Linked DNA regions of Notamacropus eugenii. The protein of the gene in region 1 purifies or fractionates together with the protein of each later gene. This does not show direct contact. Links are inferred from orthologs where the notes say so. Each region holds a gene or a part of one and is shown in the gene's direction. Other genes may lie near its edges.

What was found.
Region 2: the proteins of PPP1CC (region 1) and KIF18A purify together in Homo sapiens (affinity purification with mass spectrometry; 4 studies listed by BioGRID and IntAct, counting the BioPlex papers as one, with this or other methods). This does not show direct contact. The link is inferred for Notamacropus eugenii from reciprocal best matches to the Homo sapiens genes PPP1CC and KIF18A.
Region 3: the proteins of PPP1CC (region 1) and EIF2AK4 purify together in Homo sapiens (affinity purification with mass spectrometry; 3 studies listed by BioGRID and IntAct, counting the BioPlex papers as one, with this or other methods). This does not show direct contact. The link is inferred for Notamacropus eugenii from reciprocal best matches to the Homo sapiens genes PPP1CC and EIF2AK4.
Region 4: the proteins of PPP1CC (region 1) and KIFBP purify together in Homo sapiens (affinity purification with mass spectrometry; 3 studies listed by BioGRID and IntAct, counting the BioPlex papers as one, with this or other methods). This does not show direct contact. The link is inferred for Notamacropus eugenii from reciprocal best matches to the Homo sapiens genes PPP1CC and KIFBP.

What each region holds. Positions count from the first base shown.
Region 1 is NC_092875.1:35,564,470-35,571,758, forward strand, and holds the start of PPP1CC (serine/threonine-protein phosphatase PP1-gamma catalytic subunit), read left to right. Parts: upstream 1-4,286; 5' UTR 4,287-4,369; coding exon 4,370-4,424; intron 4,425-7,289. UniProt on the Homo sapiens protein: Protein phosphatase that associates with over 200 regulatory proteins to form highly specific holoenzymes which dephosphorylate hundreds of biological targets.
Region 2 is NC_092877.1:23,275,343-23,282,842, forward strand, and holds the start of KIF18A (kinesin-like protein KIF18A), read left to right. Parts: upstream 1-4,497; 5' UTR 4,498-4,629; intron 4,630-4,675; exon of another isoform or gene 4,676-4,763; intron 4,764-7,500.
Region 3 is NC_092878.1:25,754,557-25,762,551, forward strand, and holds the start of EIF2AK4 (eIF-2-alpha kinase GCN2), read left to right. Parts: upstream 1-4,980; 5' UTR 4,981-5,026; coding exon 5,027-5,209; intron 5,210-7,995. UniProt on the Homo sapiens protein: Metabolic-stress sensing protein kinase that phosphorylates the alpha subunit of eukaryotic translation initiation factor 2 (EIF2S1/eIF-2-alpha) in response to low amino acid availability.
Region 4 is NC_092872.1:260,097,191-260,104,824, reverse strand, and holds the start of KIFBP (KIF-binding protein), read left to right. Parts: upstream 1-4,616; 5' UTR 4,617-4,649; coding exon 4,650-5,081; intron 5,082-7,634. Other genes in the region: DDX21 (nucleolar RNA helicase 2), read left to right, coding at 223-267, 555-848. UniProt on the Homo sapiens protein: Activator of KIF1B plus-end-directed microtubule motor activity. Required for organization of axonal microtubules, and axonal outgrowth and maintenance during peripheral and central nervous system development.

The sequences.
Region 1 (7,289 bases):
TTCCTAGTATCCTTCCCTGTCCCAGATGCAAATACCACCCCCTCTCAGTTTTGAAATGCTTATGGACTGACCCACTAAGCATCCCTCCTGCACAGTTGAGAAGCCAGTACCACCAACAGGATATATACTTTGATATGCTACTTCTTCTAGCAGTGAGGAAAGTTGGTCCCCAACCAGCCACACTCTCACCCTTTTCATGTTCAAGGACACACACATGCAAGTTAACTAGCCAAAGATGCCATCTCTGCTCAGGGAAAATGTTTGGCTATGGGGTGGCAAGCCAGCAGCCTCCTCCTCACTGAATATTAACCAAGTGAGCTAACTAGTTGTGACAGAGACACTCCAGCTCTGGGAGAAGGGGGACACAGTGGGACAGTGACACTCAGCCTCGGGCAATGGTTCTGTGATATCTAATGAATCCAGAGGAGACAGCTGCTCAGTCCTGGCTCAAGAAGGCAGCTCCACTGAAGCAATTTGGAGGACTTATGCCCACCATTACATAACATAATCTACCCTCCCATGTCTGCTAGTTTATACAAAGAACAGAGAGACAACTAAACCATACAGCAGTTACAGTGTGGGATTTGAAGTTAAGAAACCTGAGTTTTAATCTTCCCTCAGACACTTACTAATTGTATGACCCTGGTAAATCACTTGACCTGTGTTTGCCTCAGTTTCCTCATCTGTAAAGTGGGAATAATGCTATCACCTGCCTTGTGGTGATAGCATCAAATGAGAAAACACATATAAAATGCTTTGTAAACCTAACATACTATTATTGGTGGAGTAGAGAAGAGGAGATTTCACCACACAGGGAAAGTAGCAAATTTCAAGGAAGGATTAGTTCTAAAGTCTGCTTCACATACAAGCAAGTACACACACACACACACACACACACACACACACACACACACACACACACACACACACACACACACACACACACCCCTTCACTTCCTCTCACTCCAGCCATGTACTTTGCTCCAACAATCTCCCTGAAATATTAATGTCTCTTCCCAGGAGGCTGAACAGGAGCCATCCTGTGGACAGATGGAAGGATTTGTAGAAAGCATTTCAGAGACTCCACCAATCCCGATCCTGGACACGTGAGATGAGAAGGTGGTTAGAGTATCAATGTATCTCAAACTGTTACAGGGCAAATCCCCAGGAAAAGCTGCAGACAGTAGAATAATGTCCAAAACCCAGCCAGTGGTCCATTTCTTTCAAATATTCTCTCTTGCAACAACAGCACCAAAGATCAGTAACAGCTAATATGATAATAAGTGATAATAATATAAAAGTAATCACATTTATAAAGCATGTTAAGGACTGCAGAGAACTCTATCTATGTTATTCTCATTCAGTGATCAGAACAATCCTAAGATACTAAGACAAATAAATAGTCCCTACTCTCTTCTGTGAGAAGCAGTAGGTAGAGTGCTGGGCCTAGAGTCAGGAAGACCTGAGTTCAAATTTGACCTCAGACTCTTAATGTAAAAATGGGGATAATAATAGCACCTATCTCCCAGGGTTATTATGAGAATCAGATGCAAAGAAAAAACACTTTGCTAAGCTAGGTACACTGTATTCACATAACATGCTTACAAATGTTATCTCATTTGAATTCTCACAGCCTTTAAGGGTGGGTACTATTATTTCCATTTTATAGATGAGAAAACTGAGGCAGACAGAGTGACTTGCTCAGAGTCATACAGTTAGCAAGTGTCTGAGGTAGGATAGGTCCAGAAAGGAGATTATGAAAAAGTAAGAGATGTCAATTAATTTTTTTAAAATTCAAGACTGTATCGAATCTTTGTCTTTTTCCTGTCATGGTTGGTTCTGGCATAAAAATGTCAAACAATGAGTGTCCCTCTCCTCTGTCCCCCAGCCAAGAACAGCAGCCTCAGGTTTTCTCACCATTAAGGTAGTATCTATCTTGAGTTCCTCACCTAGTTAATCAAATTCTCCACGTGCAAAGGGAGCACAAGAAACTTTCTCTGCAGGTGAGTTACACAACCAGACCAACTTCAAAATGCGCCAAGCCTATGTGGTGACCTTGGCAGGCTTGGGAGGCTCCAACTCAGAAGAGTGTTAAGACTCCTTGTAATTTGGTAGATTGCACCCAGTTCTCCATCCAACAAAAATTACGGGCTTCTTGCTACGTATAGTGCTAAATTCATCACATTCAGACATGAGCTGTCTTGCAAGAACAAGCCAGCTGTGCACGGCTGTGCACACTGGAAATGTTTGGGGCAAGGCCCATACAACCTCTATTGAAAAACAACAGCATGCCTTGGAAAAGGCATGCAAAAAACGGCTAGCTGTGGGGCTGTTAAATTGTTCCCATTTAACAGAGAAAGACCATGAGACACTGGAGAAAAAGGCAAGTGATTCTTTCTTGGTGCCAGTTGGTGGTGAGGTTGGGCCTGGCTGCAACCCCTTAACCTCCAAGCTTTAAAGACAAGGGAGACATATACCCAGATTATATTGTACAAATATAAACACTGCAGTTTCCTGGTCAGAAAATGAATGCCACTGTATTTGGTTTTTTTCCGAAAATGAATCTTCATTGCCCTATCTTTTTTGCTTTCTGCAAATAAGTCTTCCTCCCTCCTCGTTTCTCCCTCCTCCCCCATCCTCCTTAGCCCAGACTCATCCCAGGCTGTGTCTGAGAACAGTGGGGATTTTTAGGATAGAGAGTGAAGGAACAAGAGAATTTCACTTCTCTTTCCTTAGAATGAGGTGAATTCAGCAACTCTTTATTTATTATCTCCAGGGGGGCAAGGGACACTTGGGACCCTTCTTGGAATTCTGCCTCACTCTGGGAAATAATGAGGTGTCTTTGCCCCATGGGCAGTTTGCAGGAGTGGGTTACTGAGAGGAGAAAAGAGGGGATGGAGGAAGGGAGAGAAAGATTGAGGAAAGGAGGGAAAAGAAACAGAAATGCAAAGGGAAAAAAGGGAGAATCAGAGGAGAAGGGAAGCGGGGAAGGAAGAAGGGAAAGGGGGGGGAGAGACAAGAGACAGAGAGACAGAGAGGAAGGAGGAGGAGGAGGGGGGAAAGGAGATGAGAAGCCGACTAAAAGAGGGGGCAAAAGTGGGAAGGAGAGGGAGCAAAAAGAGGGGAATAGAGGAGAGGGGAGAAGAGGGAAAAAAGAAAGAGTAAAAGAGTGTAATAAAGGGAAAGAAAGGGAAGGAAAAGAGTGAAGAAAAAGAAAAGGGGAGGAAAGGACAGAGAAAGACAAGGAGAGCCAGAGGCAGACAAAAAGGAGGTTCTTAAGTGACTTTAGTCGCCCACGTGCTCTCGCCCAGCCCGGCGCCCTTTCCTCAGACCCTGGTTCTCCTCTTGGGCCAGCCCAGCGAAGCCCCCTCGCCTTGTCCTCTGACAGAATGGGGGCATTGAAAGCATTTGCTTTTCTTCTGTACCATCCAGCCCAAAGTCCGAGCCACAGAAAGGAGGAGAAACCCTCAGCAGGGCTACGAGGCTGGACAGGGGCAGGCCTGAGCCCCCAGAGAAACAATCCACCCCCTTCCTCTTTAATCCTGACCCAGGCCAAATGCGCTGCGCTTGGGGATCCCAAGGATGCAACGGAACCTCCGGACTGTGGGGAGGGAACACCACCAGGCTGGACAGCACCAGCAGTCCAGAGCCGCTCCCGTGCGCCTCGGGCTCAAAGGGCCCGTGAGAGTTGGGAAGAGGAGCCCCAGAGCTGGGGCAGCCAACTCCAGCTCCACCATCCCTCCCAGGTCCCTGTCTGCCCCGCGCGGCTTTTCGAAATCCCTCGCTAGCTGGGGCCCTATTTGTTCCCCGGTTCGCGGAAGGACCCGGCGCAGAGCGCTGAGCGACGCGTCTCACTCCCCCCGCCCCCTCCTGCCTCGCGCGCCGAGTCCCCGCCCCCTTCCCCTTTGGCCCTAGCCCCCATAAAGAGGTCCCGGCCGCTCTGCCGCGCTGCTCCCGCGTATCCATACGCCGCCCGAGGCTGGCTGAGGAGTCGGCGGCCATTTTGTCCCTCTCGTGGCTCCAGCGGGAGAGAAGGAGGAAGAGGGAGCCTGGGGGGGGGGAGGGAGGGGACGGGAAGGGAGCCGGCCGCCGCCTCCTTCGCCGCCGTCTCCACCGCCGTCTCCACCGCCGCTTCCCCCGGTGCCTCCGCCGCCACTGCCGCTTCTCTGTGCTCTGGAGCGTGGGGAAGGGGCGGACGGGACCGTGAGTCCGGGGGCTGGGGGGCGGGCGGCGGCGCCGCCGCTGCTGCTGCTGCTGCTGGGGCCGAGCCGGGCCGAGCCGAGCCGGGCCGGGCCGGGCCGGGGGGTGGGGGGAGGGCCGGTGAGGAGGCGCCGCCGCCGCCGCCGGGGCCGGGGTGCAGGAGGAGGCGATGGCGGATATCGACAAGCTTAACATCGACAGTATCATCCAACGGCTGCTGGAAGGTGAGCTGCGGACGGGGCTCCGGGGCTGGGGGCTCCGGGGCTGGGGGGTCCTGGGGCTGGGGGCTCCGGGGCTGGGGGGCCAGGGTGGCCGTGCACGGCGGGGTTAGGGGGTGCTAGGCTCCCGCGCCCGCCGCTGCCCCGGGGGGCTCTGGGCTACCCCCGGCCGCCTGGCCTTGCAGGCTGAGATGGAGGGGGGGCACCAACAGCGAGAGCTCCCCGAACACCCTGAGCCCTCCCTGGGGAGTGACGGGGGGGCCCCCTCGTTCATGACCCCCGCCGGCGATCGAGGGGACGCACGGACACGTCCTGGATGCTCTGCCCCAATCCTTGCTTTCGCTCCCCCCGACACCCCCCCCCCCCAACCCCCGGCCCCTTGGCTTTGAATTAGAAACCGAGCTGTGAAGTAACTCCTGCCCCCCGCCCCCCGCTTCTCCTTGGCGGGTCTCTGCAGACTTTTCTGTGAGCTTGGCTAGGCTCGTCCAAAGCCGCAGGACGGCGTGTTCCGTCCCCTTCTGCTGGGGCGAGCGCCGGGTTTCTCGTAGTGGCCTCCACAAAAGCCGTTTTATGGGGTGGTTGGTTCACTAGGTTTCTAGGTTTGCGGGCTTTTGTCCAGCCCACCCTCTTTCCCTCCCTCCCCCCGCAGACCTTAGCCCTGGAGAGTATTCTTTCTAAAGTTTATAGTCGAGAGACCTGGACTTTAATGACTTCACCTTCTCTCCCCACTCCCTGCTTTAAAAAAAATACAATTCCGTTGAGTAAGTAGGCACTTATTTCACTTCTGGCATAAAACCTGAACCAAGGAGGGAAAAAGGTTCTGTTTGTTTAAGAAAAAAAATAGGTGATTCCTCCCCCCCTCCCCTTCTTGTAATAATTGAGGGCTAAAATGCACTAGTTTTGACTTGACTAAAGGATTGGAGATCGATGTAAGGAAAAGATGCGAAGCATTTCAGTAAAGCAGCCGGAGATTCAGGGCATATGAAACAAGGCTAACATTTTATCCAGACTTTCGAAGAGCTCTTGGCACTAAGTAGTCCAGCTTTGCTAAGTTTCCTGTGAAGTGCTTATCGGCCGTCCTCTTAAGAGGTTCTTTGTAATGTGAATGTTACTGGTGCTGAGGGGAGAAAGTAAAGAAGCGCATGAACCGTGTGGCATTAAAATTCCCATCTCTTTGGGGGCAAATGACCTACGGGTAATGACCCAAATGAAATTTTGTTTTCCTTCGAATAGCTTCTTTTTAAACAACAACCAAAAACCCACCTAACTGAATGTGTATGTATCCCCTTCAGTGTTGCTGACATGTTGCTACTGTTAGATGTGAGCTCTTTGTCTTGATGTTTGTTAAAGATATTTTACCAGATGAGATGATTCCGTTTTTATGAGTGTTCAGTGTAGTTCTTTGCTTACATGAAATTGCAGTTTTCCCTTGACCAGAAACCGATGAAAGCTAGATTGCATTCTCTGATGAGCAAAGAATCTGTTTAAATATCTGAAGTTGAAATTGGATAAATGGAAGAAATTGAATTCTTTCTTTTTCCTCTTGTTCATTTGTTAGGCTGGTGGGTTGCTCTTCAAAGATAAACTCTCCAGTATTTACTTTGTCACTTAAAAGGTCTTCATGTGATACTTTTATGAGTTACAGGCCTAAAACCTAGAGTCAAAGTTAACCTGTAAATGATTAAATTATGATTATTCTGTCTTTAATATGTTTTATTTATTAATGCAGTTTTTTATACCAGCATACTTGCATATTGCCTTTGGAAGCCTCATTTTACATTTCCTTACCTGTCATTTAGAAAATCTGTCATTGCAAAGCTCGTCTTGTCTCATGTAGCATGAGTTGATCATTTAACTAAATGTAATAAACTAGTATTTCCTTAATGCTTAGGTGCTGGGGAAGGCCAGCACATGAATATTTAAATAACCTGTAGCATATGCTTGGAATCAGCACTTGGGCAGTGGCTCACCATCCAAGTAGGAAGACTTAATAATGAAGTTTAGTAAGATTTTTTTGTGTGGTGGGGTTTTTAACACACACACACACCCTCCTTTTTTTAACCGTTGAGATATGTCGGGAAATAGGAAGAAAATGCTTTTTCAGCCAGTACTAGATTTCCCTCCTTGAGGCAGATCTTTTACATATTCAAAATGGACAGGCCTTTAAATTGATTTAGAAAGTTGCATGCTTGTAAGGATGATGGTGTGTGGCTCTGCAAAACCACTCCACAGTAGAGAAGCCAACTCAAAATGGATGACTTCCTTAGGTTGGCTTCAGGGTCAGTTCTTCGCAGAAGAGTTTTAATTTTAATTTATGTGAATTTTGTCAGTTTGGTTTTAGGGGTACTAAGCTTTTTCATACTATTTTTTTTCCGTCTCAGGAATGGTATTTTACATGGAACAGAAGTTGATGTGTACAGATAGTATTTTGTAAACAATCAACAATGAAGTAACTTTTGACATTAGTAGCATTCCATTTTTTAAGCTATTGTAAGATGAAGAAAAATAAACTTGCTAATAATTTCAGTAAAGGCTTGGGGATACTTGCATGTTTAAGAGGTGCACTCAGCTCATTATACTAAGTAGCAATTGTGCTTTATAAAGCATAAGATGTGCACATTAAACTCAGAACCTTTGCTCATGGTTTCTAATGGTAGTTGCCACATTTTCCTGGAAACTTAGAATGGACTGTTTATTTCTCTTTTATCAGTGGAGGCAAAATTTCTTTTTCCTTTAGAGTAGTTCTTGCCCAAAGTCATGTAAACAAGTCTGTGGTCAGGGCTGCACTCAGATTAGAATTCCATGACTTGTTTTGACATCATAGATGCAGCCTTTCTCTAAAAAGGGTATCTATAATAACCTCCTTCTGTT
Region 2 (7,500 bases), on another chromosome or scaffold:
ATTTTGAAATACAAAGTAGCAAAATTAACTTGTGAATGAGTTCTACCCTCATCAGCTGGTGCCTTCCTTGTCAAATATTGAAACAAACATTGGTTCTCTATTCTTTCAAAAATGTTTACATGACATTACTACCCTTTCAGAACCAATCTTTTAGAAACAGCATTTTTTCCATCTTTTCATTTCTTCACAACCAACTCACTCCTCAACCTCTTTCAATCAGGCTTTGATTCATGTTTTCTTATGTTAGGTCATTTTTCCTTTTCAGTCTGCATATTATAGCTTCACAGGACAAAAATACTACTAGGATAAAAAAATACAATCAAGATAAAATATACATAAAATATATCTCCAAGATAAAATTCTCCTGCACATCATAATAACTATTTTGCCAAATGATATTAAACAACATTTGAGGCACTATCCCTTATTTTCCTCAAAACAATGAATACCTAACTAATCATTCCAAAACATGATATTTCAGGAACTTTTTTTTTCGGCAGAAACAGCCAAATCAGAATGAAAAGTAAAAATTCCTAAAATAAAATTTATGGGACTTTAACTTCACAACAAGAATACAGAAACCATTCTACTTCTAAAACATTCCAAAAAGACTCATAAAATCTGGCTTAAAAAAATTCTTCCTTTCAGAAGATAAAACAATAGATATTGAAAAGTTGATTGTATAAAATCTGCAAAAACATAAACCACTTAACAAGTAACCTGAGGAAAAGACTTGATTCAGCTATGTCCAAAAAGAAACAAATCTAAACAGTACACTGCCCTAAATAAAGATAAGAATAAGTCATTCAAATTTTTTTTAAAAGGCCAGTTATATTAAAAAAAAAAAACCCAAAAAACTATATAAACATAGTAAATACTAACAGTGTCAGCATAGTTACATAGTAAAAACTAGACACTGGTAAAGTTGTAATAGACTTGGGAAAGTAAAGTGATGACAAGTTAAACATGAAATAATGCTTTCTATTTTCCAGAAAGTTTTTTTGAGGATACCAACTACTTTCCTACCTGACAGTAAAACTCCAACCAAACTCTCCTATTTAATAACTACATAAAAACTTATGCAACAGACATCCATACACACTCAGAATCATCACAGTATCTCAGAGGTGAAAGTGACCTCAGAAGCATCTACTCCAACTCATATCTGAGAAAGAAGCCCCCCCACACACACACACACACACATCCCATCAGCTATCATCTAGTTTTTGGTTAAATTCTAACAAGTCTTTCATCTTCAAAAACAGAAATATTCTATTTAGACAATTAAACAGTCAAACATGTTTGGTTATGGTCCATTGGCCAAAGTATGTATGTGAATAAAGAGTTAGATTTCATTCATCTAGATTTTAGTTTAAAAACTAGAATCAAACTAAGAGTCTATAGTCATGGAGAAAATCAAAATCAGTGGAAGAAATTTTGGAAAAGTAGCACTAACCTTTCACTGACCTTTGGAATGTTTCCAGAAAATCAGATTTTGTAAAGTCACTAAACTGTGCCCCAGGCACACAGCTAGAGGGTATTATTAAAGGAGAACTGTGGGAAAAAATATAGAAACCCAGAGGGGGAGGGCAACCTTACCTCACTGAGAAAGTTTTGTTTGTGTTGTTTTCTACATGACTGATCACTTTAAGGTAGCCAGCACTGAGCAGTCCCCCGAACATCTCCCTGGGACACCTCACTTGCTGGCCTGTCTCCACTGAAAAGGGTGATGATCCATTAGGACCAGAGACAGCGCGCCGGACCTGAAGGAAGACCTCCGATACGAGGCTGGCTGAGACTAGTGGTATGACACCTACCAAGTCACTAAACCGAGCGGAGCCTCGGCGGCCGCGTCTGCAGAATGGGATTATAACAGCCCCTCCCTCTGGGGACTGTGCAGGAGATAAAACGTCCTGGGAGCCCCCACTGGGACCTTCCCCGACCTCCCCGGCCTGTCCTCTGTCTCCCTCACAGACTCCCACGGTATAGCCGGGCACCAGCTACCCTCCACCCCGGGCGTGAAATGCGCCTTCGCAGACGGCGGCGGTGGGAAGGACCCGCGGCCCGGGAGCCCAGGGGGACGGCGCTCGCTCGCCGGGCGGCTGCGGGGCCGCGGGGAAGGTCTTCCCCTGGGGGAGGGCAGCCTCGCCTTCCTCACCTGGGTCGGACACGAGGCCTTACGTCCAGCTCAGTCTCTAACTGGCCTTTGCTCGGGCCCTGAAGGCCGAGGCCGGGCGGAGCAGGGGGCGAGCAGAGCGGCCGCTCGACGTGGGCCGCCCGAGGGGAAGGCGCCGCCGGAGGAAGGCGCCGAGGACGGACGCGCGGGCCCCGCTCCCCCGGCAACCAGCCGCGTCGCCTTTGGTTCCGGGGGCTCCGAGCCGCGGCCCTTCCTCACGGTCCCGGGCGTCGGAGCCGAGCGGGGCGCACTAAGGGCTCCCTTCTCTACCGGGGCCAAATCAGAAGGGGCCGAGCCCCGGGACAGAATGGGATGACAGTAACGGTAGCTTCGGGATTCTCAGAACTGTTCACGTGTGAAAACTGAGAGATGGAAAACTTCCAAGGGGGCCATCCTGGTCTGGCTTCATCACTTGGGGCTACACCGCATGTAGTGGCAGAACCTGGCCCGGGAGATTGTCCAGAATAAACGATTCGGAGCATGATCCTACTACTCTAACATTGTGCATTTCAGAGTTTGCGGGTGCAACTGACACACCAAAAAGGGACAAGATGTAGCAGCTTCCAGGCTACTTTGTAGCAAGCTCCTCATGTAATCTCAAAGTATCACACAACCCAATGACTCATCTACGAATGGCTGCTTAGCGCAAGCCTGTGAAAAATCATTTGTAGGATATTCTCCTATAATGTCCTAGTGCTGGAAAATGGCTTTCCATTAGACATCTCTTATTTAATCCCCGTTATTTCCACACACCTTGCCTTCTCATCTTGGCCTAGTGGCTTCCTTCAAGTCCTAGCCAAAATCCCAGGCTCTATAAGGAGGCTTGTTTCCCTCGATGCTAGTGCCTTCCCTCTACTGATTATCTCCAATTTATATATCTTGTTTGTATATAATTGGTTTTATGTTGCCTCCCCTATTAAACCGTGAGTTCCTAGAGAGTATGTTTTTTTGTTGGCAGTATAGTGCTTAAAGATGCTTGTTGGCTGACAACTTGAATCAGGCTTGGTTTTACTGTGTAAGGATGTCGTAATTGAAGGAGTCAAATCACAAAATTTAATAGAATAGTAAGGAGGGCTCGCAGTTCTACAACATTTTAAGGCTTACAAAGCACATTATTTCACTTGGAGAGCCAGCCCGTATTATTAGGGTGTATGACTGTACAAAAGAGTCCTCCTTTTCTGTTTATTAATACTTTCAGTTAGATGGATTTGGGTTTAAATTCTACCTCTTTGCCACCTATTGTCTAGTCCTGACCTAGCCGCCCATCCCCAATTCTGACTCTAACTTAGAAAAGTTACTCATCTGCACTTATGACAAATTTGGTGAAATCACAGGTACAGATCAAGAAGAAAGATAAGTTTTAATATGTGTCTTATTAGGACAATTTGCTCTATGTCAAAAAAAAAAAACCCAAATCCTAATAAAAGCCTTTTATTCATATGGTTCTATCCATTTTGTGGCTATTTTAAAATCCCTAATTAACAAGTATAAATGTCTTAATAAACAGAGGAAAGGATGCCTGTTTTACTACTTGTACACCCCAATACTACAAAAAGTATTGTCACAAAAGTAATATAGAAAAGGATGGCTGTTTTGCTTTTTTAAAACCCTAATTTTAACAAGTACTCATCAGTGACTAACACAAAGCACTTTTCCCAATGAAGATATCTCAGAAAGGAAAGGCTTCCCAGTTTTGCCCCTTCAATATCTCACAAAATCCTTACAGGTTTGTTAAGAAAAAATATATTTGAGCAATGTCCATCTCCGCCCCACTACGAGGTGATCTGACCTAGGGCCGAGGGAACTGCTTCCAACTCTCCGAATCAGTTTTGGGGGCTTTTCTGAAATCGGTTTAGATTTATGAGGCCAGCTCGGATCACGAAGAGGTGGTCAATAAGCACCGGCCAGATGCCAGGCGCTGGGGGATGCCAGGCGCTGGGGGATGCCAAGCCAGGGCAAGGGCAGGCCCTGCCCTGGGGAGGCTTCCAGTCTGATGCCGACCAGGCTCACACAACTACATACAAACAAGTCAAAGACGGGAGAAATGGGCCTCCGCAGGCTTTCGGCGGCAGGAGGCCGCGGGGTAACCCCGGAACCGCGCCCCCGACTCCTCGGAGGGGATGGAGTAGCGTCCGCTCAGCTCTAGCACCGCCCTCCAGTCGGGGCTCCGCCTCCAACGGCCGCAGCCAGTCCCGCCCAACCGCCGCCGTTACCAGGGCAACGCTAGGGGCCGACGGGCTCCCGCTCGGGCCAATCTACCTCGAATGCGGACGCACGTGGCTTCGTCCGACGGGCGTGGTGACGTCAGGCGGATGGCAGCCAATGAGATGCGCCGGAGAAGAGACAGGCGTGCGTTTGAATCTGGAGTGTGGAGCGGGCCCTTTCCCGGAGCCGGCGCGGCGGCGGAGGCGACGGGGTCGGGCGCGGCCTCGGGGAGCACGGGCGGCAGCGGGGTGAGTGAGGGCGGGGAGGCGGAGGGGCCAGGGCCGGGGAGGCCGCCTCTCTCCCGGGGCCGGGATGGGTCCCGCGGAGGGAGCGCCAGGCACCTTGCGGCCGCGGGCGCGGACCCGGGACCGTCCTTCCTCAGGTGGGACTGGGGGCGGGGCCCCGCCTTCCAAAACAGACGCCCCCAGGGAGGGAAGAGTGGCAATTACCCCCCCCACCCCGACCCACCTTGTGCTCAGTTACCCGGTGAAGGCTTTGCTTGGGGGGCCTGGTTTGTCCCCCCCTCCCCGGCGGGAGTGAGGGTCCGGGAAGGGGCTGCCGGCAGAGTGGGGGAGAAGGGAAGCCCCCTTGTGGGATGCGGTTGTGAAGCGCTCGGCCCGGTCCGCTGCGGGCGGTGGGTGCGAAGTCCGTGCTTGTGGTCCTGGCCCGGGGATGCTGAGAGATCCGCCGCCTTAGCCTTAGCCGAGTGTGTGTGTGTGTGTGTGTGTGTGTGTGTGTGTGTGTGTGTGTGTGTGTGTGTGTGTGTGTGTGTGTGTGTGTGTGTGTGTGTGTGTGTGCGCGCGCGATAATAATAACACATATAACATGTGTTATCTATAGTAATAGCAGCGTGCAGGGATTAGGCGCCTACTGCATGGCGGCGGTGGGGGCGAGGCTTCCGATAGGAGTTTACATTCTAGTGTGTCGATAGCTGCTAACTAGAGAAGCCTCGTTCAGCCAGGGCTGACTGAGGGCTTAGTGTATAGAAGTACTTTCTGCAGCCACAGAAAGGAAGCAGGCCGTCCCTCCAGGCGCCCGCCTTTCTGCAGAGAGTGTAGTAATAGGATCATAGAGTTCAAGATTGCCAAGCCTATCCAGATGGGACCTCACAGCTTTGTAAAGAGGCATGCGTGTGCCCATCTCACAGAGGAGGAAAGGAAGGCTCCTTCTCCTAGGTGTTCAGTCAGTTTACATTATTCAGTTGTGAGTGTGTGTTTTTAACTTCTCTTGTTGGATGTAGGGCAGCCCAGACCAGAAGTTTTCCCTCCCCTGGCAGGGGCTGGTATGTTAGTATTCACAACCTTTTTTGCTGATCTGAGTACAAGTTTGAGGGCAGGGGCAGGTGCAAGCTCAGGCTTACTGTGTGCTGATGCCCTCTTATCTGGCCTGGAACTTGTCTTCCTGGAATTGTGCTATACTGTTATGTGTGGTTTGACGCTCTCTGGAGTTTATCTGAGAAAGGAGACAGGAATGCCTCGGTGACATTATTATTTTAAAAAAAATGGATTTTTAAGCCTTTGAGAAAGTGTACCCTTACATTTTACAAAGCACTTTCTTCATGTCAACCAAATGAGTTCTATAGTGTTGTTGTGAAACAGGGTGTCCCAAAAGTCTTAGGGCAGTTTTGAACTCTAGTAGCTTTGAGTCACTTTGTGTTATCCTTCCCATATTACAGTTGAGGAGCTTGAAGTTTACTCAAAGAGGTTATGTGAGTTAGGCTTTGATGATGGTAGTGTCCACATACATACATAGTACCAGACTTGTGGCAGCCTTTCCGTGTAAAAGTGTTACCATCACTATTTTATGAAAGAGGTGATTTACCACAGTTGCTTAGCCAGTAAGTTTGTAAGCTAGGATGAGCACTCGTTTCTTTGCTGGGTCCCCAGGTAGCACTCTGTAATGCCATTCTTGTAGTAGCAAAGGAGGCATTCAAACAAAAGTGTTTGGGTTTGGGTTTGACTTGGTTCTTTGGCTTGTTTTCTGGTTTTTGGAATAGAGAGAGAGAACAGCTCAGAGGATGAGTAAAGAATCAAGATCGTAGATGGTGCAGCAAATAGAGCCCCAGGCCTGGAATCAGGACCCGAGTTAAATCCAGCCTCTGATGCACTAGCTGTGTCACGCAGCAAGTTACTTAAATTCTGTCCGTCTCAGTTTCCTCATCTGTACAATGGGAGTAATAGTGGCACTTCCTTCCCAGAGTTGTTGTGAGGATCAAATGAGCTAATAATTGTGAAATGTTTAGCACAATGCCTGCCATGTAGTAAGTGCTATGGAAATATTAACTATTGTTATTATAACTTATGACCTTGAAGAGATCTTGAAGGTCATCTAATTCCCAATCCCCTTGTTTTCTGGATGAGAAATTGGAGGCTGTGGTGGATGAAACAACTTCCCCAAGGTCACACAGCAAGAAGCAGAACTGAGATTTGAGCCCAGTCTTCATCTCCAGATTGAATTCTTTTTCCAGAGATGACATCTGAGCTGAGCCCGAATGAAAGCTCAGGATTCTCAACTTGGAGGGGCACCAGTGAGGAGCAAGGACATTCCACAAGTTGGGCACTAACTCATTTCTCTGTTGTACTGTTATCCCTATGATAGTATGTGATAATAGGAAGTCACAGGTGTTATCACAGTGGACATGGAAGCGGGAGGGGTAATGATCATTTTACCATCTCAGATAATCCAGTTCACCTGAGAAAGAGAGACTGCAGCAAGACTACTGGCAGCCTTAGGGGACTAGGTAAGGAGCTTGTGTCTGTAGGGGAAACAAGTGGCCAACTCTTTGAACAGAAGAGTGAGATGGTCAGATGTGTCCTTAAGGAAGATGGTTTGGAAGCTGTATAGATGGATCAGAGCAGAAAGAGACTGGTGGCAGAGAGGACAGCCGGGATGCCCTCCTAGGCCAGTGCCCTTTCTACTGCTCCATGTTGCCAGGTATTTGAAAGGACATTTTCCTTTGCCCACGTATTGGGAAGAGCAGGCTTAATTGTCCTCCATCGAGAAGCCTAAGTATGCCTTCCTTTCATATATGCATGTATAAAGGTTTGCACAAACTGAGCACCTGCTTAGAGTTCCTAAGGAGGTGACGTGTCTTCTTTGGCAAGTGGTCTGCCCCTAGG
Region 3 (7,995 bases), on another chromosome or scaffold:
AATCCACTCATACTGGCCAAATTGCTGTTCCTCATACACAATACTCCATGTTTCCTCTCCATATTTTTGCATTGACTATTTCACATGCCTGGAATGATTCTCTCTCTCTCTCCCTGCATCCCTCCTTCCCTCTTTCTATCTCTCTTTTTTAAGATTCAGATAACATGCCATCTTCTCCCAAAGACCTTTCCTGTACCTCACTCTCTCCTGAGCTGTTTAGTGCTGTCCTTCCAAGCTTATTTCTCATTTACTTGTTTTATCTTTTATGTTCTGGTGATTTCAGCAGCTCCCATGGATTCAGTGATCCTATCTATGCTGATGAGTCTCAGATCTACTTATCTAATCAATAGCTCTCCTAATCTCCAGACTCACTTCTCCAACTGCCTACTAGACATCTCAGACTGGATGTCCTATAGATATCTTAAATTCTACATGTCCAAAATAGGATTCAGTACTTTCCCCTGTTTCTTTTCATCTCTCTACTTTTTGTATTCCTATAAAAGAGACCACTTTCCTCCCATTTACCCAGGCTCCCACTCTACATGTCATCATCTACTTCTCACTCTCTTTAACCTCACATATCCAGTCTGTTGCCAAGCCCTATCTATAGATTTTATTTTCACAATAACTCTCATATTTACCCCTTCTCTCCTCTGACACTGCCACTACTCTAGACCAAGACCTTACTACTTAATGACTGAACCATTACAATAGTGTTAAGGATGGTCCCTCTGCCACAAGTCTCTCACCATTCCAGTCCTTCCAATACTTAGCTGTCAAATTGATGTTTCTAATTCACAAATTGATCTTTCATATTCCGTGAACTCCAGTGGCTTCCTATTACTTCCAAGTTCAAATATAAAATCCTCTGTTTGGTGTTCAAAGTTCTTCATAACCTGGAATCCCACAACTTCCTTTCTCTTTGTATTTTCACCAACTATTATCCATTCCTGAGATGCTTTCCTTCCTCATTTCCACCTCCTGGCTTCCCTTGCTTCTTTGAAATCTCACTTAAAATATTTCCTAATCCCCCTTAATGCTAGTACCTTCTTCTGTTAATTATCTCCAATTGATCCTATATATGTCCTTTTTGTACATAGTTGTTTGCAAGTTACTACCTCCCCGCCTTAGACTGTGAGCTTCTTGAAAGCCAGGACTGTATTTTGCCTCTCTTTGTATCTTCAGTGCCTGTCACATAGTAGGTACTTAATAAATGCATATTGATTTATTGGTTAAAAGCCTATTCTGGTTCTTAAGACAAATAAGACAATTCCAGCCCTGAAACTACTTTCAATCTAGTAGAATTATTGATACATTAGAATGTAAATTAATAAGGGGAATACAAATGTTTATGAGATTTGTTAAGAGAAAGATTGTTTCCAGCTAGGGGGTCAAAGAATTCTTTATAGAACAGTTAAAATTTTAGCTGGGCCTCATAGGATAAATAGGCTGTCAACAAGCAAAAATGAGATAGGAGGGGATTCTGGGCTAGGCCTAACTGGGGGTTATGTTTCAAGTAGTTCAGGTTTGGGATTAGAGCAAAATGAGAACTACATGGCCAATTGAACATTTTAGTTTTGTTTTACATTTTATTATTTATTTTTAACATTTTTTTATTTTTAAATTTTGAGTTCCAAATTCTCTTCCTCCCTTCCACTCCCTCCCATACCCACTGAGAAGACAGGCAACATAATATTAATCATCAGTGTGAAATCATGAAAAACATATTTCCATATTAGTCATATTTTTTTAAAGCAAGGAAAATAAAGTGAGAAAACTACTCTTCAATTCACATAAGTTTATCAGTTCTCTCTCTCTGGAGGTGGATGGCATTTTTTCATCACGAGTCCTTTGGAATTGTCTTGGATCATATTGATCATAGTAACCAAATTGTTCACTGTTGTTCATCACTACAACATTGCTGTTACTGTGCACATTGATCTCCTGGTTCTTCTGCATCAATTCATATAGTTCTTACAATGCTTTTCTGAAACCACTCCCCTCATCATTTCTTGTAGCACAATAGTACTCCATCACAATCATGTGATACAACTTGTTCAGCCATTCTCCAATTGATGAGAATTCCCCATTTCCAACTGTGCCACCACAAAAAGAGCTAATGTAAATATTTTTATGCATATAAATCCTTTTTCCTTTTTCTTAGATCTCTTTGGAATATAGACCTGGTACTAGTATTGCTGGGTCAAGGGGCATGCACAATTTTATAACCCTTTGGGCACAGTTCCAAATTGCTCTCCAAAATGATTGGACCAGTTCACAATAGTTTATTAATGTACCTATTTTCCTTCATCCCTTCCACCATTAGTCATTTCTGATAAGTGTGAGTTGGTACCCCAGAACTATTTTAATTTGCATTACTCTAATCAATAGTGATTTAGAACATTTTTCAATTGACTAGATAGCTTTGACTTCTTCTGAAAACTGCCTATTTATATCCTTTGATCATTTATCAGTTGGGGAATAGCTCTTATTTTTATAAATTTGACTCAATTCTATACTCAGTATATTTTTGAGAAATGAGAACCTTATCAAAGAAACTTGCTGTTAAATTTTTTTAATATTATTTCATTGTCTATAGTACCTTTTAACATAATGTAGCTTCCCTGATAGCCTCTTTTAATTAGATTTATTTTTGCTTTTGCTTTGTCTGAAATCATGATCACTCTCCCTGCTCTTTTTTTTTTTAACTTTAGGTGAAGCATATTAAGTTCTGCTCCAGCCCTTTATTTTTACTTGCTGTGTGTCTTCCTACTTCAAGTGTGTCTCATACATAACATATTGTTGGATTCTGGTTTCTAATCCATTTCTGCTCTTTCTTTTTTATGGGTAAGCTCATCCCACTCACATTCACAATTGTCAATGATTTGAGTATTAGTGGAAGTCTCTAAGGTGATTTCCTTGCCTTTTAGGGAGAAATTAGTCTAACCTATACCAAGGAGATATCACTCCTACCACAGAGGATATTTCAGGCATAATGAGCAGTGTAAGTAAATGAAGCATATGGGGCCTCTTCACAGGACATCAAATAGTACTTTTCTCTAAAATGAGAAGTACATGTTGAGGAATCATGTGGGATAAGGCTAATATAGTAAATTGGCACCAGATAATGAAAGATTCTTAAGAAAAAAAACAACTAAGGAATATGATCTTTATTTGTAGTGACAAGACCTACATTAGACTCCTCATTGCTACATCTTAGCTGTGTGTCTTTGGGCACATCACAGAAATTACTATACTTGGGTTCAAATTCTGGCTGTGTCCTCTGTTACCTACGTGACTTTGGACAAGTTGCTTTACTTCTTTGCACCTCAGTTTCCTCATTTGTAAAATGAAAAGATCTTCTAGTTCCATATCTTCAATTTCTCTAAACTTCAGCTTCTTCATCCAAATAATTTTTATAATTAGTATTACAATATTTGCAATGAACCAGAACTCATCACTGTGACAACATATGAAAAGAATTTTAGCTACAAAGTACTTATAAATATAACCTATTATCATTACATAATCCTTCTATCAAAGATTCTCACAGCACAAAGGGGCCAGTCACATTGTTTCACCTCTCTTAGACCCCTATGCTGCCACCCAATGCACTGAGACTGACTCTCTACTTATAAACCATACAGTTCATAGAAATATGGAAGAAAGTGTTCCTGAAAGGAGCTAACCAAACAGCAACTCTTGAAACCCAAAGAATTCAAATATGAGGGCTTCTTTGACAGCCTTCCAATCCCACAAGTTTTTTTTGTTTTTTGTTTTTGCCATCTCTCTACCAGGGATTTGAGGAGTGTTGGAGAAAGCTGCAGAGAAGGGAATCATTCATCTCTTTATCCTCCTGTAATGTTAATGTAAGGTTAATAGGTGGGAGGGAGGAAGAGTTAAAGATCTTCCCTGCTCATTAATAGATCTCAATACCTTTTGTTCATTTCTATTGAGGCACTGGGTCCTCCGAGGGTGTGCCCTCCATGCCCTCCATCTCTGAAAACTGTATAACTACTCTGAAGTGAGGTTTTAGTTTGGGGCTTTCTCCTTGGAAGTGTCCTTTGACCAGATTAGACTCTGGGTAGCTCTTAAGGTAACATCCACTAGCTTAGAAAACCCAGATACTGGTGCTTCTCTCTCTGGTAACTATGAATGTATGTGTGGTCAGAGAGTTGGATCTGTCTGTTGATCTGTGATGTATGCATGCTTATGGTCAGACAGTTGGAAGTCCTGTCTTTATTTCTCTGCATGCATTTTCTCTGTTGGTACAGTGTTTGCTTAAAGTGATTGCTGACCCCTCAAGAGTTGCTTTCCTTCTAGAAAAGCAGATCTCTACCAGTTGGCCCCCTGTGTATATCCCCGTCCTTGCGGTTATACCACCTTCTCGTTTCTTGCATTACTTTCCCAAACTACGGCTGGCCCAGCTCTATTCCACGGGTTCCAGAGCGGGCTAAGGAGGAAGCCTGGCCTCCCAGATAAGCAGCACTCGGGACAGCGGAAAAGGCCAGGCATTTAGGATCCCGCGGCTTGGCATCGAGCTCCAGCCCTGCCATCGAGCCCCAGCCCAGCCCTGGCATCGAGTCCCAGCCCAGCCCTGGCATCGAGTCCCAGCCCAGCCCTGGCATCGAGTCCCAGCCCAGCCCTGGCACCGAGCCCCAGCCCATCCTTCACTCCTTGGGCACTTGTCACAACCTGTCCCTGGCTCGGTTTCCTCCTCAGTAAAACGGGGATAAACTAGATAGCCTTTATAGTTCCAAGTGTAGGGCCCCAGATCCCCAGCCACAGTCCAAGGGGGCCCTGGGGAGGAAGCTCTCGTCAGTGGCTGGAGCAGGCCGCCTTCCCCCGGGGCGGAGTGGCGGCCCCTCCGACCACCAGGGGGCAGCGCAGCGTCCCGGCGGCCCGCCCCGCCCCTCCCCCCTCCCTCCTCGCCCCTCCTCCTCCGGACTTGTCCTCGTCCTCCTCAGGGAGGCCCGGATCGGAGGCCCGGAGAGGCGTCCCGCCAGCCCACGCCGCCGCCGCGGCCATGGCCGGGGGCGCCCGGGCCCGCCAGCCGCGGGAGCCCGGAGAGCAGGCCCGGCGCGGAGCGGGCGACGGCGCGGCGGAGCAGCCCGAGAGCTACCCGCAGCGCCAGGACCACGAGCTGCAGGCGCTGGAGGCCATCTACGGCCGCGACTTCCAGGACCTGCGGCGACCGCGGCCGGGCCAGGTAGGAAGGCGCGGGAGCCCCGCGGCCCCCTGCGGCCAGCTCGCGGCTTGGGGCCCGGCCTCGCAGCCCCGCCCCGCCAGCGCGGCAGCTGCGCGGGCACCGTGCCCGCTCTGTGCCCATCCGTTATCCTGCCAGGGCTCCTTAACCTGGGCTCCGGAGACCTTTAGAAGACCTCCTGACAGCCGGTGCCCTTCGGAACCCTTCTATTTTATCTGATGCCTTTCCAAGGGTTATCCAGCAAAGGGCCCGTGGGCTTCACCAACCTGGCAGAGGGTCCGTGGCACAGACGTGTCCAGGACCGCCGGGCCCAGCTCTGCCCCGTGACTTTTTACTGATATCCTTTGATGGCCCTGCCACCCTCATGCTTTATCGCCGCCCGCTTCCCGTCCAACATAGAGGTGTGCGTAGCTACTTCTCCTTTCCCTCCACTTTCCCTGAGCCCTTTGGGTAGACTTAACAGCACCTCTCCTAACTTTGTTTTTTTCCTCTGATCATTTTTTTCCTGACATACCCAACCCTTAGTCAACAGTAATCCTCTTCAACAAACATTTGTTGGGAGTCTAAGCACTGCAGGAATACTAAATGATCGCGGGCAGTTGAGGGTGCAGGGGAGAAAAGCATATTTAAAAATTCATTAACATGAAGCGGAAGTTGATAATGCATAGGAAAATTATTTAGTACTTTTGAAAATTCAAAGCAAGGAGAGATGGCTTCCGAGTGGAGAGATAAGGGTACTGTGTAGAAGATGGCATCTGAGTTGGCTTTAAAGGATGAGAAGGTTTTCAAATGGAACAAGTGTTGGGGATAGGGAAGTCCAGAAAAGAAGAACTACATAATGCCTAAGCATTGGTACAGAGGCCTTTGAGCCTGGACCACATCAGAGACTGAGAAAACTTGTGTGGTTGGAGGGTGTAGTCTGTTAGGGGAGATAATGCTGGAAAGGTAAGTTAGATCCTGAATGGCAAGCTACAGTTTGGCTCTCATTTGGGAAGAGGGAACTGTGGAAGGTGTTTAAGCTGAGGAGTTACATGATCACAGCAGACATGAGGATATGTCAGTGAAGTGTAGGATAGATTGGAGGGGGAAATCCAATTAGGTTATTCTGGTCTAGGAGTAGTCTAGGAGAGGGGAAGTTAGTTCTGAATTAGGGGCCATGGCGGTCAGAACAGGGAGAAGTTTGCTAGAAAGATTTTGAAGACAGAATGATTGAAGCAGTGGGAATGGAAATGAGTGAAATATTTTCAGAATGGGTGACTGACAAAATGGTTATGCCATTAACCAATATAGAGAAATAAGGAGAAGAAGCCAGTCTTTGAAGAAGGATGATGAATTTGGTGTTTGGAATATTATTGAATTGTCAGTGCCTGTGTGATACTTACATGGAACTAACTAGCAGGAAGATGGAAATGTGGGACTGGAACTCTAAGAAAGAGAGGAATTGGGGTTGGAGATCTGCAAATCAAGTACGTAGAAATTATGGTTGAAATCTTAACCATAGACAAGATTGCGTTGAGAGAGAGTGTAGAGATTAAATACAAGAAAGCTAAAGATTGAACCCTTCCTCCTCTTCCAATGCAGCTAGGTTCTAAGTGCAAATTTCCCAGAGCAGAATCAAATTAGTGCACAGGGAAAAGGGACATTTGTCCAAAAAGTAAGTAGCAATACCATCAAGTACCCTGTCTTTATGCACAACCTAATGTTTCATTTCTTATCATATCGTTCCTAATTCTACAAATCATATATCCCAGATTCTTCTGTTCACTGTATTTCTCTATTTAGAAATTACCTGCCTCCTTCCTTCTACCATTATAATTTTGCCCTCTACAGCATCCACTCTCTCCAGTGCACCTAAAAGTCTCTCATGCTGTACAGAATATCTACAATGGACTCTGTCCTTCCCCTCCCCCATTTTCCATCTGTTATGGGCCCTTCCTTTCTTTTAGGACCCAACTTAGGGTGGTGCCAAATAAATGTTGAATTGAAAGCTTCACATGATGCAAGGTTTTGATAACTAGTCTTCTTTCTTCAGACAGCTAGGTGGCACAGTAGATAGTGTCATACCTGGAGTCAGGAAGACTCATCTTCCCGAGTTCAAATTAGGCTTTAGAGACTTACTAGCTGTGTGACCTTGGGTAAGTCACTTAACCCTGTTTCCCTCAGTTTCTTCACCTATAAAATGAGCTGGAGAAGGAAATGGCAAGCCACTCCAGTATCTCTGCCTTGAAAACCCCAAATGGGGCCATGAAGAGCTGGACACAGCTGAACTCAACAGCATCAAACTCCTTTATGCCTGTAGTAGCTGCCTTACATACTTTATATCCACTTTCCTTCCATATTGCACCAGGTTGCTACTTTGTTCCCCTAGGCTATCCCTGCTACTTAAATTATTTTAATTATGTATTTCAAAGGTCTTTGAGTTCATCTGTGGGAGTATTTCCTTAACTAATGAAGGTTACAAGGTCTCTATGCCTCAGTTTTCGTGAGTCACAAGGAGTGAAAAAATTCATCATCCAACCTGCTTATGCTGTACCACTGGCACTTTGCTAGGTTCGTCCACAGACAGCACACACACATACATATACATTCTATCTCTAAGCCTATGCTTGAAGATCGTCCAGCTTGACAGGACCTGCCAATACAGCGTTCAAGAGCCTATAAGCACCAGCCTATAGGTTACCCATAATCAGTTGCTCATAATGGAGGCCTATCTGATGTGCTCTAGAGAACATTGCTTTTTGGAATTCTCTTTTAAATATCTTCCTTTTCCCTCACAAGTATGCAAAGAC
Region 4 (7,634 bases), on another chromosome or scaffold:
TCAAGCTCTCTGTGTTAGACCACTCACACTCTTGTGCTCGGCTTTGGAGAGCAGCTCCATGTATTCCATATGTGATGGCACATCTCCCCTCTTCAGTCTGTGGCATACGGATAACATCTGGACCATGGCTGGATGAGCAGACACCTGTCTGAGGTTACTCAGCCTTGTCAGGGACTGAGGGATCCCTTTGTGAAACTCTTCATCCTGTTCCTTTCTTTTTAGGGCGTTTGTTTTGATGTTCCTGCTGCAGAAGTAAAGACATTCCAGGTATTCTCATCTGGCATAGTGTGGGTGGGATATAGCCTCTGGGTCCAGCAAATGGCTTGTGAATGTAGAGTCCTTTTCAAAGTAGGGGGAGGAGAATTTCCCATCGTGCTTCAATGACCAGAGCAATCAGGATGGTGCCCATAGCATTTAGCATTCAAGGGAAGTCACCTTGGGGTTTGCACCACTTGTAGAGTCGGGAGTTCTTTGGGAGGATGGGAGATGCTTGTTTTCCTTCAGATGGTATCTGGACAAACTGAATTGAGACAAACATACCTTGTGTTCCCCAGGAACAATGGCAGGACTCAAGGCGTTGGCAGCTCTCTGTGGCCACCGAGAGACCCGAGCTGGAGCAGCAGCCTGATGAAGGCAGAGGCTTCTCTAGTTTCCGGAACCAGAGGCAGGGAGGTGGTGGCCGAGGTGGCAGCCGGGGTGGTGGCCGGGGCGGCCGGAATGGTGGCGGCCGGAATGGGGGCGGCCGGAATGGGGGCGGCCGGAATGGTGGCAGCGGCTTCAACAGGAATGACAGATTTCAGAATAGAGGCCAGAAGCGAAGTTTTCAGAGAGCATTTTCTCATCGTTAAGATGAGCAAAAGGACACAATTAAGTTTGAAGAGACAGCACCACCCTCCCCAGTGACTTTTGTAGACTCTAGACCTGCTTCTTGCTTCCTTCTCCGCTCACCACCTGGCTATTGTCCTTTGGGGCAGCTCTCAGCAAGAGATGATGCTTTCTGCCTCGAGGCCCGTCCCTGTTCAAAGGGATGTTCGCCATCCCTTCATTTGTCCACTGTGTCTTCAGAAGTTTTTCTTTGGGACAAGTGTGTCAGTGCACACGTGTTCATTCTGAAATTCATGTTAGTGGATTGCTTCTAAGCTCTGCCGTCTTTGGAAAGGAGTAGAAAAGTATCTCTGTGTAGTGTTTTACCCTGAGGATGAGCTCCCAGGGCACCCAAGCTCAGAAGATCTTTTCTTCCATAGCCAAAGATTTGTTTTTGCAACAGATATTCCTAGTCCACCAGCTGAATGAATTCTCTTGGGGAGACATTGGGCATCGGCTTGTTCTAGAGCCTGGGTCCTGCTGATGATGCTGTGGGTTTGATATCTCATAAAGAATACATTTTTTGTGCATCTAATGCTATTTTGGTGCTTGAGAAATAAATCACAAGCATTCTCCTCAGTGGCATGGGACCCAGGTGGCTTTAACCAGGTTCTGTCAAATCTTCCTTTATGGTAGACAAAAAACTAGCAAATTTTACTGAAAGCATCTGTTAGAATCTCAGGCATGGGAAGATAATTTTATGCCCTTTCCCAGGTGGAAAGAAAGGAAGGAGGCAAATATTTGTCTACTTGCTTTGAATTCTTCTCCATTTGGGAAAGAAATATTATTTATTTCGGAGAAAAAATCTTGACTTGCTAACCAGATGAAATAAACTATTAGACAACATTTTTCAATTAAGAGAAAAAATTCAAAACCACTACCTAGGGAGCTATAAAACTTGGAGAAGTGTTGACTGATAAGCAGGTTCTGTTGGTAATAGGAAAAATATTAGGTTGATTCTTATTGTGTAAATTTCCATAACCCTATTATGTTATAGAATATGTACATTGGCTTTTTGATTCCACAAACATTTATTAAGCACCTACTGTGTGCTAGAGGTTGTTCTGAGAACTCTTTCATTGTGCAGCAGAGATGATTCATTAGGTCACTGTGCTCTTTCTGCTTTGTAAAGTATCTTTGGAGGTTCCGTTGATGATCTGGGGCATGTCCATCCCTCCCCCATAATGGTGTTCCCATCCCTCCTCTGGGTGTCTTCTGTAGCCCCCTGACAACCTGTCTCAGCCCCTGGGGTGAGCTGCCCATTGGTGGTGTGGGGATTACTAACTCTTGTCTCAGTGTGAGGGCGGTCTAAGCATTTATGAAGCCCCTCTGGTGTTCCTGGCACTGTGCTGCCCCCCAGTTTGATGACTCTCCTTTTGCTCCCAAACTTCAGATCACCCTGGCCAGATTTAGTGGAAGGAACACTGGGTTTGCAGTCAGAAGATGTGGGTTTGAATTCCAGCCCTGCTGCTTACTAGCTTGAGTGACCTTGGGTGAAGGGTATGCTGCCATGACTTCTTATGACCTTGGGAACCCCTGTTTTTTCTCCTTTGGCTCCTGAAGCTCTAGCTCATTGCCAGGGTCGTGGTGTTTTAATACTGGTGAGCATGAGGCATCGGTTTGTTCTAGAGGCTGAGTCCCACCCTCCCCCCACCCCCCTAGCTGCCCTTGTTAGTGCAGAAACAATCAAAAGGCCAATTTAGCAAGTATTTTCATGATCAACTAAATCCCCCCTTATTGATGCTCTTGGAAATCCTTTGAACTTCCCATTCTGGTTCCTAATGCTCTACTTAGGTGCTTGGTGACTGGGAGAATGCTAAAGCCTCTCATTCCACCTTCTGTCATCACGTCTGGGAAGCCTGGAGGTCCAGCTTTATTTTTTCAGATGATGAAGGCACAACTTTTCAGACGTGAAGTAACTGATAAGGTTACTGATACTTCTTTTGAGTATATGGCACAATGTCCGACTTGAACCTAGGGCTTCTGGTCCTGAGTCAACTGTCTTTAGTGCAGGGTTCTCTCAGCATCTCATACCTTTTAATTGGGTCCACCTTGGTGGGGAGAGGTTTTTACAGGTCACGAAATGCACCCCATTACTGTGATTTAGTGATTAACAGTGGCCAAACCTTTGGTGGGCAGCCAGCAGGATTGGGTTTGGAACTGGTGTCGCCTTGTATTTGGCAAGGTATCTAAAGGGCACTCCCTTGTTTGTGGGCATACAACTATTGTGCTTTGGAATCAAGAATGCTTCTGTATGTGAACAAAAGAAAATTTTAGTTCTGAATATAAAAGCTAGTGTGGGGTTCGTTTCTACTTTGCAGTATTAGACTTTCAAGGGAAAATGCTAATATTCATAACAAAAGGCTGTGGGAAAATGTAATTTTCCTGGAACAAGACTTGTACATTACATTCATTGGTACCTAAAAAGAGTTTTAATGAGGTTTGGTTGGGCTGGCCTGCGGACCTCACTACCGTTTTTAATTTAGTTCTCATGAGAAAGTATTGAGTTCCAGATTTTTTTTTACAAATGAATTTTCAGAATACAATCTGTTTATGAATTGGGAACTGTCAATGGATTATTAAAGGTAAATATTTTCTAAGATATTGTCTTATGTCTTAATTAAAAACAGTTTCCTTATGCCTGTGCTGCTTTTTCTTAGTACCACAGCGGCCTGGGCCCTGCAGAGGCCTGAAAGGTGTGTGTGTGTGTGTGAGATTATTAACAAATTTGCTCGGGAGATTCTGTACCCATTACTCCATCTGGGACTCATCCTATAATATTGGATAGGGCAGAAGTTATTCCCGTTTTATAGAGGCAAGGACTCAGGCCGTGCTTCTGGGCACGGGGGTAAGGGAAGGCCCTCCGAGTCCTGAGTAGTGGGAAGATGCCAGGGTCCAAATTTATATCTCCAAGGGCTTTCCTGGTGGTGTCAGAATTCAGCGCTGGATTTGGGGTTCAAAGACTGGCACTTTCTCGGGCTAGGATTCTAGTGTCCTCCTCTGCCCCCTAGTGAAGGCCTCACCCTTAGACTAGGCTCCCCATTCATTCCTCTGCCCCGAGTCCCCATTTTATTTCCCTCTCACACTCCTGGGCAGCCCGGCCTGCTAGTGCAGGACATGCCCACTGGGCCTCCGCTGAGCCCCATCGCTGCGCATGCGCACACTGCAGTGGCAGCTTGCGGTCCCTTCTCCGCTACCTTCTCGAGGTGGGACTTGTGGAAAGCGCTTTGCAAACGGAAGAGCTGCGTAAATACCAGCACTGTTGTTTGGGGGTAAGGGGGCAGGGCAGTGTTTCGATTGGCACCGCGCCTGGCACACCAGTTGCTGACCGACCATGCGCAGATACGCATTCATCAAAAACTGAGTCGGGGGACCCCGGCCCGCCCCGGCCCCGAACGTCGCACACGGATGACGCCCAACGAGCGTGCGCAGAATAGAATCTGCTTCCGAGGCCCCTTCCTCCCAGGGCGGGGCCGGCAGTCACGTGGGGGAAGGCTGGTTGGCTCTGGACTCCTCGGAAGTGCTTCGGCCAAAAGAGCGAGGACGTCTCAGCGTAGCCACCCAGCAGCACCGCTAGGAAAGAGGAGCGGAGCCTCTCTTCGGGCGCAGGTGCGTCGCCATGGCGACGGTGGGCCTCGCCGCGGAGGCCCCGCCCCCTCGCGCCGGCGTCTCCCGCCATTGGCCGGCGCGCCCGCGCGGCCCCGCCCTGCGAGGTGTGCGCGACGTGCGTGGGGCGGGCGCGGCAGGGGGCGAGGGGCAGCGGCGGGGCGGACGAGGGGGGCGTTATGGCGACCCCGGAGGACTGGGCCGCGGCCTGCGAGATGTTCCGCGCGTCGCTGTCGCTGTCGCAGGTGGAGTCTCAGAAGGACCCGGAGAACAACCCGTACAAGTCCAAGTACTACGCCCGGGAGCTGCTGCAGGAGGTGAAGGCGCTGCTGGGGCCCGCGGCCGATGAGGACGAGGACGACGAGGCCGGCGGGGGCGGTGGCGGCGGCGGCCCGGGCGCGGAGGAGGGGCCGGCGGCGGAGGGCCCGGGAGCCGGGGCCGAGCCCAGCGCGCGGGCGGTGCGCTTGGCCGCCGTGGAGCTGCAGCTGGGCCTCAACCACATCGACACGGAGGAGCTAGCTGCCGGCGAGGAGCACCTGCAGAACTGCCTGCGCCTGGTGCGGCGCAGCCGCCTCGAGCCCGCCGCCGTGTCCCTGCACCTGCAGGCCCAGGTGTGACCCGGGGGAGGGGGCGGGGGCGGGAGCGGAGCGAGGAGAGGGCACCCTCGCTGTGACCCTGCCTCTGTATGGTGGGGAGGGGACCCCCCGCGGTGAGATGAGGGGGGGGGGGGGAGAAAGGGTCTTCCTACTCCATACCTGGAACACTAACCGTTGGGCCACCACCACCTAGTTGAGATACCTCCCCCTCACTCCCAGTTCCTAGAGGAAATGAGTAAGGCCAGGAACTAGGCTCGAAGAGACCTCAGGAGCCATCTAGCACACCGTCCTCATTTTACAGAGAAGGAAACTGAGGCCCAGGGAGGTAGTATGACTTAGGATCTTAGATCTAGAAGAAACCTCAGCGACCAGGTCAGTACAGTTCCCTCTGTTTACGTAGGAAACAGATTCAGAGAAGAGAAAATTGCCCAGAGTAACAGGTACGACTTCTGGTTACCCACATGGCACCTCTTGCCCATCAGAAGACATTCAAAGGCTCCACCTCTTGCCATGCCTAGGACCTTGGCCACAGAGTGGGAATTAAGCCAGACTAGCAGCCACCCTGGGTGGGGCTTGTGAGTGCAGCTGGAGACAGTATTGCTTATTTTTTACGCCTTTTTACATATTCATTTCCTAACCTATCCTTTCCATTTCCTCCTCCGTTGTTGCTTTTTAAGAATCCTCTCTCAAGTCAAGAAGCTAGGCCAATGGTTCTTAATTTAAGGACTGGGAACTTGAAAATTTTTTTGACAATTATATTTTAATATAATTGGTTTTCTCTACAGTCGTACGTCTTTAATTTTTTGTATTTAAAATCGTTATTCTGAGGGGGAATCATGACACAAAGGAAGATTAAGACTCACCAATTTCTAGGCTTCCTCTCAGGTTGACATTCCCTATTATGCTCTTGGTAAGCCTGTCGTTCCTTGTTCTTAGGGCCCTAGCTCCCCTGACGTTCCCTGCCATGCTTGGACCCTTATCCTTCTTTGTTTTCAAAGTCAGAGTTTAAAAATTCTGGATGTGACCTTCAAAACAATTGGTTTTAAAGTTTCTTCTTTGGATAACCTTTAAGGTTCCTAAAATCTTTTAATGTTGGCCATTGTATATAGTGTAAAATGCAAGGAAGAAGGACACCTTAAAAATTATTATGAATGTACATGATTCCTCATGAGGCGTAGTGACAAAGTCTGATGCCCAGTCAGTGGGGGGAATGTTATCAAAGGGTTGACAAGCACATGTGAACTGTTTTGGCTACTTATCTTTCTCCCTAAGCCCCTACTCTCCTTCCCCACCACTATCAAGGACAACACCATCCTCCCTGTCTCTCAGGCTCACAACCTGGGAGTCATCCTGGATTCCTCCCTACCTCTCACCCTCCCCCATAGCCAGGCAGTTGTCATGGCCTTTTATTGTCACCTTTCAGTCATCCTTTGAACACTCACTCTTTTCTCCTCTGATACGGCCCCGACCCTGGTGCCGACCCTCATCACCTCACATCTGGACTGCTTCCTTAGCTGCTGGTGGATCTGCCTGCCTCAAGTCTGTCCCCACTCAAGTCCCTCCTCTGCCCAGCCAAAGCCCAGGTCTGTCTCTGTCACCCCTGCTCCCCCACTCAGTAAATTCTAGTGTCTCTGTATTGCCTTAAGGCCTACTGTACATTCCTCCTGGCTTCCTTTAAATACCAACTAAAAACCTTTGTTAAGTAGTTTATCCTGTATAGCTTGTTTGTACATATTTATTTGAATATTGTCTCCCCCCTTAGATGATGAGTTTTTTTGGTGTACTCAGCACTTGGCATAGTGCCTGACACAAAGTTGGCCCTTCATAGATGTTGATTGACTGCAGTAAAGTCTGAAAGCTACAGTGGACAAATAAAATACAGTCTTTCCAGTGGCTCAAAAAATGTCTTGTTTTGTTTGGAAACTTTGGGGGAATCCTGGGGAAGAATCGTTGGTGTTCCTGCCTCTGACAACAAATCGTTACTGACATTCAAGGCCCTACCTCATTATTTTCTAATCTATTTTTCTTTTTCCAACCTTATTCTTGTAGTAGAATCTTCTTACATGTACAAGATCAGTCTCTCCCTCCATTCCCATTGCTCATTAATCATTTCTGGAATGGCCTTCTCATCATGTAATGTCAGTTAGAGGGGATCCTGTGCATCCTAAGTTGTACCTCTTGAGGAACCCTTCCTGGCCCATCATCTGAATTCTGATAACACTTAATGTGGTGGTTCATGCACTCCTTTCATTTGTAGAATTTGTCTAATGAGGTTTAAAATAGAGAACATGTCTTGGCCATGGCACTGTGGTTCTGAAATGCTGGAGAAGTCAGGGTTTGAAAGGTGTTGGCCATTCACAACCTTGTTTCTTGGGAACTAACTGATGTCTTGAGGATTGTGGCTGCCTCTCAAGTCTGTGCTCTGGGTTAGTAGTGTGGGGAAGTGACATCATCTGAAACCTTGGTCCTAGGTTGGCAGACACACCTTGCCTGCTTTATATCTGAATACACAAAGCAGATTTTCAAACAGAATATAGATCTAGAGGCACCATACTAGAGACTGGTTAT